2 linked regions of the Oryzias latipes genome follow. The protein of the gene in region 1 binds, or shares a complex with, the protein of each later gene. Links are inferred from orthologs where the notes say so. Each region holds a gene or a part of one and is shown in the gene's direction. Other genes may lie near its edges. The genes, in order: med16 and med21.

Region 1 (4,362 bases):
TTTCCAGCCAGACCTATAACATTCTTTCATTCATTCATCATAGCAGTCTAAAAAATGTAATTCTATTAGTTTAAGAAGAGTCTCCAATGTACATGAATGTACATGCTCACCCAGTTGAATCAACGTTTTGGGACTCGTATGCCTGTGACCATGTGACGTATTTTTGACAGTTTGTTATCAAGGTAAATTTGGTATTCAAGACAAACAAGAGTCGTATTTATAACAAAGACAAATCGCATTCAAACGTAAAATTAAAATGTTGTCTTCATGTCTTTTTTTTGCAACTTTGTTTTTATGACTATGTTTCTTTTTGACAGATTTCTCACACCCTACATTCCTTTATTAAAAACAGAGAACTTATAACTAACAAAATGAGTATTAAAATCATCAAAACAGGAATATATGAGAGAAAATACATCAAATTCAAAAAATACAGCAAATTCACCGCAAAGCTGCAAATAAATGTGTAAATATGTGGGAATCAGTCTTTATTTTGTTCTGGACACCACTGGAAACACAAATTCATATGATGGTTTCTCAGATCGCCGCAGCATTTCCGCCTTCAGCGATCGCGGTGCGTCAGGAGGAGGACCGCAGAAGGCGGACATGCAGCTACTTAGTCCTGAGAAGCTGTGGAAACTCATCAGAAGTTCACAACCATCACAAAACCCTCTTCTCTGCCACTAACACAGTCTGCTCCTGGTGCGTGTGTGTGCGTCAGTCAGCAGCCGGACACACAGAGAAAGCAGTGACGTCATCGCCCCGCCTCCCCTCTGCTAATGCTTTTTCGAAATGAATATTGTGACAAGGTGCGCAGGGTGGATGTTAAAATGCAAATGCAATCCCCTCTTTGCATTTTCGTTTTAATTATGACACAGAATAAGCGGTTTTAAGTATAAAATGAAAAAGCATTTTGAAATATTGCTTTTTCTTTTTAATTTTGAGTCAAAAAATGCAGCTACATTTTGAAAATTAAAAAGCATTTCTGTTAATCCATTTTAATTGTCAAATTAGACATTTCTAAATGAATTATGCTACACATTTACCAGGGACCTTTTTGAAAATGAAATGTCAAATACCATTTTCTTTATCATTTTAATTAAGTGACAGAAAAAGCTGGGTTGAAGTATAAAATGAAAAAGCATTTTGAAGTATTGCTTTTTCTTTTGAGAGTGAGAATTGAAAATGTATTCAACTTAACTTTGTATTTTGCTCCTTGTTAATAAAGTTACAGAGGGAAAAAAAGGTTTACCTCGGGTTTAGCCAGACTAAAATAGGATCATAAAAGTATTTATTAGAAACGTTGTAGAAGACACAGTGTGGATTTTTAATTACTTCAATGTTTTTACTTAAGTTGAAAGCTTTGTAATAAATTGTCTGGGCCTAATTTTCTTATTTCGTACTCTAAACATATTTTTCAGACAGGCAGCTGTATAGGCACACATATACGGGGGCCTGACACGCGCCAGTCTCTGCTGCGGTCTTTGTTTCTTTCAAAGTGCCGTTCTTTCCAACTCGTATTTATGTTTTCTTTCTGAAGTCGTTCTTAAAACTTCTTTCAGTTTTGGCTGTTAACTTTTGAAAGCCAGTTTCAAATAGGTGAGTTCATCATAATAGACTAAGTCAGCGGGTTTTTCTTTTCATTTGCATCACGTTTTTTCTGGAGTTTTGCTGCTGGGTTTGTTTGTAAAGAAAGTCAAGAAAACCGAACTGTTGACGAGCAACACTTTTCTTTTGGAAATTCAAACTTGCATCGTTGTTCATAAAAACTTGGGGTAAACATCCAGAAGACTGATGTGTTTCGTGGTGCTGTCATGTGAGCAAATTCAAGTTTATGGTAGAATTTAAATAAATGACCGAATACATACAAGGTTTACTTACAGTGGGGCAAACAAAGTATTTAGTCAGCCACCAATTGTTTAGGTTCTCACAATTCAAAAAATGAGAGAGGCCTGTAATTTTAATCATAGGTAAACCTTAACTAATATGAGACAAAATGAGTTAAAAAAAACAGAAAATCACATTGTCTGACTTCTAAAGAATTTATTTGTAAATTATGATAGAAAATAACTTAATGATCAATGACAAAAGTTCATTTGCTGGAAATAACAGCTGTGACAGACTGGTGACCTGTCCAGGATGCCCCCAGCCTTCGTCCGCGAGTGGCTGGGATAGGCTCCAGCAGCCCCGCGACCCCGAGAGGGATAAAACAGATTAGAAGATGAATGAATGAATGAATGGCAATGACAGAACGATTGATCTGCGTAAAGGAAAGAAGGAATGGAGCAGTGTATGGTCAGATTTGGAGGGAAGCCTCCTTCCATCAGCATTAAAGATGAGACATGGTTGGATCTTTCAGCACGACAACGATCCTAAACACACGTTGCCCGGGTAACAAAGGAGTGGCTTCATAGGAAACATTTCAAAGTCCTAGTGTGGCCTAGACAGTCTCCAGATCTCAACCCCATAGAAAATCTTTGGAGGGGGTTGAAAGTTTGTGTGGCCCAGTGACAGCCCCAAAACATCACTGCTCTAGAGGAGATCTGCATGGAGGAATGGGCCAAAATACCAGCAACAGTTTTTGAAAACCTTGTGAAGACTTACAGAAAACGTCTGACTGCTGTCATTGTCAACAAAGGGTAAATAGCAACGTATTGACTTGAACTTTTTTATTGACCAAATACTTATTTTCCTCCATAATTTACGAATGAATTCTTTAAAAATTGGACAATGTGCTTTTCTGTATTTTTTTCAGATTTTGTTTCTCATAGTTGAGGTTTTGGCTCCATTGACCATTAAACTCAATGTAAATTCAAAACTAGTTTTGAATTTAGTTCCTGTAGTGAAGGAATGGAGATTGGAGATTCACAAATTTAATCTGCAAACGTTTTAAAAATATTTTAGTAAAACCTCATAAATGGTCTGAACTTTCTTCACTTAGATTTTTCAGCTTCATTATATTGAGTCAAATATAAACGGTCCGTCCTTCAATGTCTGTGTTTCTAACGTGAACTGATAACTGATGGCTATTAATGTCATGCTACTCACTACTTTTGTACTCTCCAAATGACACAAATTCCCATCTAACATTACCAAGTCACTTTGTTGATCCTCACTTTCAACTTTTAAGTTTACATTGTAAAATTCTCTAGTCATCATTCTGTGTCATATTTGTTTAATATTGTGACTTTATTCATGTGGCGTATGCTGCTGACCTCTTGGCCAGGTCACCCTTGAAGATGAGATCTGATCTCAGTGGGTTTCACTTGGTTAAAAAAAAAAAACCCACTGTGATGGAAATAGTGTTTTGGATGTTTTAAGAATCCTACCCTGACTGGGTATGTTTTCACAATAGATCAAAATAGGATTAAATGGAAACTTACTAAATATAATGCTTGACATGGTTAATTATTCTGTTCCTTAACAATGATCTAACCTCTAACCTGCTTTGAAATACAGATGTGTTCACTTAGTGACAGATGTGTTCCTCTGTCTCCCATTCAGGTCAGGTGTGGACGAGGCGTCTTTGTTCCCCTTTGGACATGGAACTGGCATATGTCTGTGACTGGGAGAAGCGACAGAAGAACGCTCACTGTCCATCCATACCAGTAGTGTGCTCGTGGTCCTGCAGGAACCTGGTGGCGTTTACCACAGACCTGAAAAGTGACGACAATGAGAAGGGTACACAGACACACACGCACACGCACACACGTCCAACTCTTGGTCCCGGCTACCTGAACCTCTTTTTCAGATGTCAGTCACATGATCCACATCATCGACACTGAGCACCCCTGGGATGTCTTTTCTATCAACTCTGGTCACACTGAGGTCATTTCCTGCCTGGAATGGGACCAGTCAGGTAGGCTTTACTTTAGTTGACTTTTTTCAGAGTATTAAACTGTTATTGTTTTGTCAAGTGCTTGTGTTCTTGTGTGTGTAGGATCACGGTTGCTCTCTGCCGATGGCGATGGTCAGATTAAGTGCTGGTCCATGACTGATCACTTGGTAAACAGCTGGGAGAGCATCCTGTCTAGCTCTTTGGATAGAGATCCCATAATTGCCCTTAGCTGGTTGCATAATGGAGTCAAACTGGCTCTGCATGTGGAGATGGTAAGGCACCTTCTACATAGTAGAAAAGCCCCAGAACCAGTAAAAAATTGACACGACATCTTCTGCTTTCAGTCTGGTTCCACAAACTTTGGAGAAAAGTTCTCCCGGGTGAAGTTCTCTCCTTCTCTCACCCTGTTTGGAGGAAAACCAATGGAAGGCTGGTTAGCAGTAACAGTTAGCGGTTTGGTCTCCGTGTCATTGCTAAAGCCAGGCGGCTCCTTGCTGACGGCCAGTGAGAGTCTGTGCCGGCTT
Region 2 (4,486 bases), on another chromosome or scaffold:
CAGTTAACTTTGCTTTCAGGAGGAAAATCAATCTATTCATCCATTTTCTTGTATCCCTTTTGGGGTCTCAGGGTTGCTGGAGCCTATCCCTGCAGCTGTTGGACGGAGGCACGGTTCATCCTGGGCAGGACGTCAGTCGGCTCATGAGGAAAATATTTAAAATAAAATAAAATAAAACATCAAAATCCAAGCAGAATCTTACCTGTTTCATGGCTTCTACCCTCTTGTTGAGAGATGTTGTCTGTTCGATTAACATCTCGGCTACGTTGTCATGGTTACGGAGCCTTTCTACCAAGGACTTAGCATCTGCCAGGACTTTCTCTAACGTACAGTTCATGTCTAAAGGGGAAAACATTAAAGTAAAATCGATGAGCAGGACATTTTTTAGAAAATATCAATCTGGTTTTAAAGAAATGTGAAAACTTAAGAAGAAAAAAAACATCGAGTTCAAGTCTGTAAGTAATATAACAAATTGGGCAATTTCCTTCATAAAACTGTTTTACTCTTTTGCTTTCTGTTTGTTCAGTTTTAGTGAGATAAAAACCTAATTACTGTGGTGAGTAATGAACATCTGGAAGTAAAGAGTAGTAGATCCCTGCATTTTTCATTTACTTACACATTAGCGTTAAGATACTCAGCGTCTTACAGATTTAAGATGGAAAGTTAAATGATAGAAAGTGATGTAAACAGTACAAAAAGCAGGGAAATTGGTTTTAAGCAGATTACTTTTTAGTTACAATACTTATCTTAAATCTTTGTTTAGAGTTTAAGGGAATACGTAGCTCCGTTTATGAAATGCACCCATCATGACTGGTTGAACATTCGCTGCTAAGCATCTAATTTTGCCAATGTCGTGTTTGGGTAATTCAGGTTTAAAAACACACTAAATATTTATTTTAGCAGAATTCGATGTATAACTTCTACATCAAGATTTCCTCCAGTAATAACGAGCAGGAGATGCTGCCCCATACCATCACACTGCCACCACCAAACAATGTAACTTTACCGGGTATGACCCTCCTGCTCACCCACTAAAGCAGGATGTTAACGAATGTGTCACAGTTTAAAAGGGGAAAAAAGAGGATGTCGAACTGCAGGAGATTTATGATCATGAAATATACTTTCTTATGACAAAAAAATTAAGCAAGCAGAAACAAACAGCTAATTATGTCTTTGCTTACGTAGTAGTAAAGTAGTTACAACTAACGAAGCTGCTCTCTAAATCCTGACAAATTTTCCAACAAAACATACAAACGTACCTCATAAACAGTGTACCAAAGCATGTAAAGGTGTCTTAATTTAACACTGAAGTGGTCTTACCTGAAGAGTTCAAAGTGCAACCAGAAAATAGATCTTCTTCCTGATATTTTATGTTGTAGCTCAGAATAGCAACATCATGCTTATGCTAACACGAATATCGGATTATACGTTAAACTTAAACTTTGTTTCTTTAAGACATAAAAAAATATACTAAAGTACAAAAAATGAATTTCGCAAAAGTCTCTATGGTATTCAAGTCTAAAATAACAGGTTTAAGGTTGTTGACGGGCTAACTTTCTTTAGCTATCTTGTCTTCCGAAATGACGTCAATTTCTGCGAGATTTTGTCAATGCTCTCGCGATAGTTGACGACGGACTTTTGTCAAATACAGGTAAATATGGCGGACCGGCTAACGCAACTACAAGATGCTGTCAACTCGGTAAAATAAAAATGTTAAATATTTGACAAAAATTGTGATATAGAAAGACTGTCACATATACATTTAAATATGAAATGTGCATTATATATAGGTTTTAATGGAAGTTGTTTCCTAATTTATTTACTGAGGGCGTAACATCACAGCAGCTAACAATGCTAATGCTAACTTAATAAATAGCATTACTTACTTGGTGTTTGCTGAAGCTGTTTGCCAAAATGCTGAAGTAGATTGGAATTAAAGTTGAAGACGCATGAAAGGAAGTGGAAATTATTTAAAAAGGTACCCAAACCAGGAAGTTACCCTATAAATTGTTCGTTTTGAGACTTATCCTAATCCTGCCGGTCAAAATATGCTGTCAAACAAAGTTAGAGTCCCATTTGTTCTTAGCATGCTAGCCATCCTTTAGTGTAGCTCTATCAGGAAACTCCTGAAAGCACTAAGCAGCTTGTTTGCTCATTTAGCTGGAATATTATAGGAATCATGATGTGTGGTGGTACAGGCCAACCGTTCTGTTATTGTTTAGGTCAGCCGGATGACATTTCTTACTAGCATATGGACTAAAGATATACATATGTATATAACATATGACAATATTGAACTTCAGGCACTCCAACCCCTACACTTAATCTTCATGACATTTCGAAATAAATGCCTGAAGGGCATAATACATATGATTACATGAAGAAGGAGCAAAAACCTAAAAATATTCTAACTTACAAGAAGTGTACTACTTCATAATTCTCTTTTCTCTATGAAAGATTTTAACCGTCTTAAATAAAACCAAAATCTTGCTGAAAATGCTTGAAATATTTGCATACAGCCAGATAAAGAATAATGGAAGACAATTATACCAAAAATGTTTTTAAAATGAAATGTTTAATATAATATCCATTCATTTCCAATGAGTAGAATTTCCTGCTGTGCTTTGTTATAATCCAAGCTTGATTGTTTTGACCTTTCTGTCTGTGTTTCAAACATAAAATGAATCTATTCGGGATGTGTGGTGCAGGTCGGCTTCAGCTCGGTCTGAACTGTGTGTTCTGCTTTTGCGTGGGCAGCTTGCAGATCAGTTTTGTAACGCCATCGGTGTTTTGCAACAATTTGCTCCCCCTGCGTCCTTCAGCAACATCCAGACCGCTATCAACAAGGACCAGCCGGCCAACCCCACTGAAGGTTAGTCTGACGCCGACTGTCTCTAAAGACCCACTGGGTCGCCGCCTGCTCTTCACCTTCAGTCCTCGGTTTACAGTTTCAATTCTGAATTTTCACTTTCGGAGTACAGCCTCATTTTACGTTGGGGTGGGCCTTCGATGCCGTTGGATATTGGGACATGATTGATATCAGGGGCTAGACGGGTCATTCTCTGAATTCGGTGCACATTGGTAATTGAAAATCTTACCTAAAAAATGTGTGTTTCTTAACATTACATCAGATTAAGGACTATTTAAACCTCTGAGAAAAGATGTTTTCCCACTTTAGACATGAAATCCCCCAAATTGTTAGAAAGTTTGTCACTGTGACAGTGTGTTTTGTTACGGAGTAGAATATTACGAGGTTGAAGTTGTCACGTGTCTACATTAGCTAGGATATGAAGCTACATATGGCATGAGGAAAACAAGAATTTAATACATATTTCAAAGCAATCGTTAGCTTTTTCCCAAACAATAGTAAATATCATTTATTAATTTAACAGAGTTGAAAGGTTGAGCTTGACAAAGTCAATCTGACAACAGAAACTATGAAATATGGGTAAGAAAGGAGGCTAATACTTACCTGTCTTCAGAGTATGAGCAGGAAAATATTCAGTGATGTCACTTCCTGGCTGCTGAAGAAGTTGGACTGAACTATTATTTTTTTTTAAAGGGGGATTGATAGGCTGTTACGGGTTGAACAAAACTGAGGGACAGGAATAAACGGTGAAATTTCATAAAGATTCATTTATTTTTGTCATACTTCTTTTATTTAAGTGAAACTAAATAGGCATATGTTTATGTTAGCAGAAAAAGCATGTAGTTAGTGGCTGTTTTTATCAGTTTTGCATTAGCTGAAAAGGTAACTTTGGCTTCGTTCATACTGCAGGCTGAAACGACCCAATTCTGATTTTCTTCCCCCATGCGACCTGTATCTGATCTTTTCATGACAGTCTGAACGACACAGATCCCATCTTTTCAAATGTGAACCAGGCCACTTGGGTATGTGGTCCTGAATCCAATACGTATCCGATCTTTTCAAATGCGACCTCCGTCTGAACGGCCAGGCCACATGAATCCGACCCGTACCTCATTGATACGTTCTCAAACGTCATAATTCTGCGTTGAAGTAGGCGGAACCAGAAGATAAACATCAACCATGGCGGACGATGCTGCTGAGACCAGTCAGTGGAAGGGAAGCGAGGTCACCGATTGGATTCATATTTGGGGTGACAGCTCCATTCAGGCCAAACTCCAGGGCTCTTATCGCAACCGGGCAGTTTTTGAAAATATTTCCAGCAAAATGGCCGAGCGTGGTGTTGAACCTTTCCCACCTGACTTTTTTTTCTTTCCGACTGTGGTCGGAAGCAGGGGGGGGGGATCTTCTCCAGGGCTGAAGGAAGATCCTCCTCCGGAATTAACTTCCCCGTTCGGACCCTCAGATTCTCCAGAGCGGGTTAATAAAGAGTCAATTATAGCATTTATTCTGGGGGAAGCCTTCTTTTATTATCGTTCTCCTTCCTCTGTAACACACAACATGAATGCACGCACCCGACACACTTCCGCTGCCCCCCCCCCCCCCATCCCCCCCCCCACA

Evidence for each region.
Region 2: med16 (region 1) and med21 share a complex: the UniProt entries of both Homo sapiens proteins name them as parts of the mediator complex. The link is inferred for Oryzias latipes from reciprocal best matches to the Homo sapiens genes MED16 and MED21.

What each region holds. Positions count from the first base shown.
Region 1 is NC_019862.2:1,605,326-1,609,687, forward strand, and holds the start of med16 (mediator of RNA polymerase II transcription subunit 16), read left to right. Parts: upstream 1-1,441; 5' UTR 1,442-1,599; intron 1,600-3,504; 5' UTR 3,505-3,542; coding exon 3,543-3,681; intron 3,682-3,751; coding exon 3,752-3,859; intron 3,860-3,940; coding exon 3,941-4,110; intron 4,111-4,182; coding exon 4,183-4,362. UniProt on the Homo sapiens protein: Component of the Mediator complex, a coactivator involved in the regulated transcription of nearly all RNA polymerase II-dependent genes.
Region 2 is NC_019881.2:3,908,899-3,913,384, reverse strand, and holds the start of med21 (mediator of RNA polymerase II transcription subunit 21), read left to right. Parts: upstream 1-1,634; 5' UTR 1,635-1,657; coding exon 1,658-1,699; intron 1,700-2,757; coding exon 2,758-2,872; intron 2,873-4,486. Other genes in the region: fgfr1op2 (FGFR1 oncogene partner 2), read right to left, coding at 203-337. UniProt on the Homo sapiens protein: Component of the Mediator complex, a coactivator involved in the regulated transcription of nearly all RNA polymerase II-dependent genes.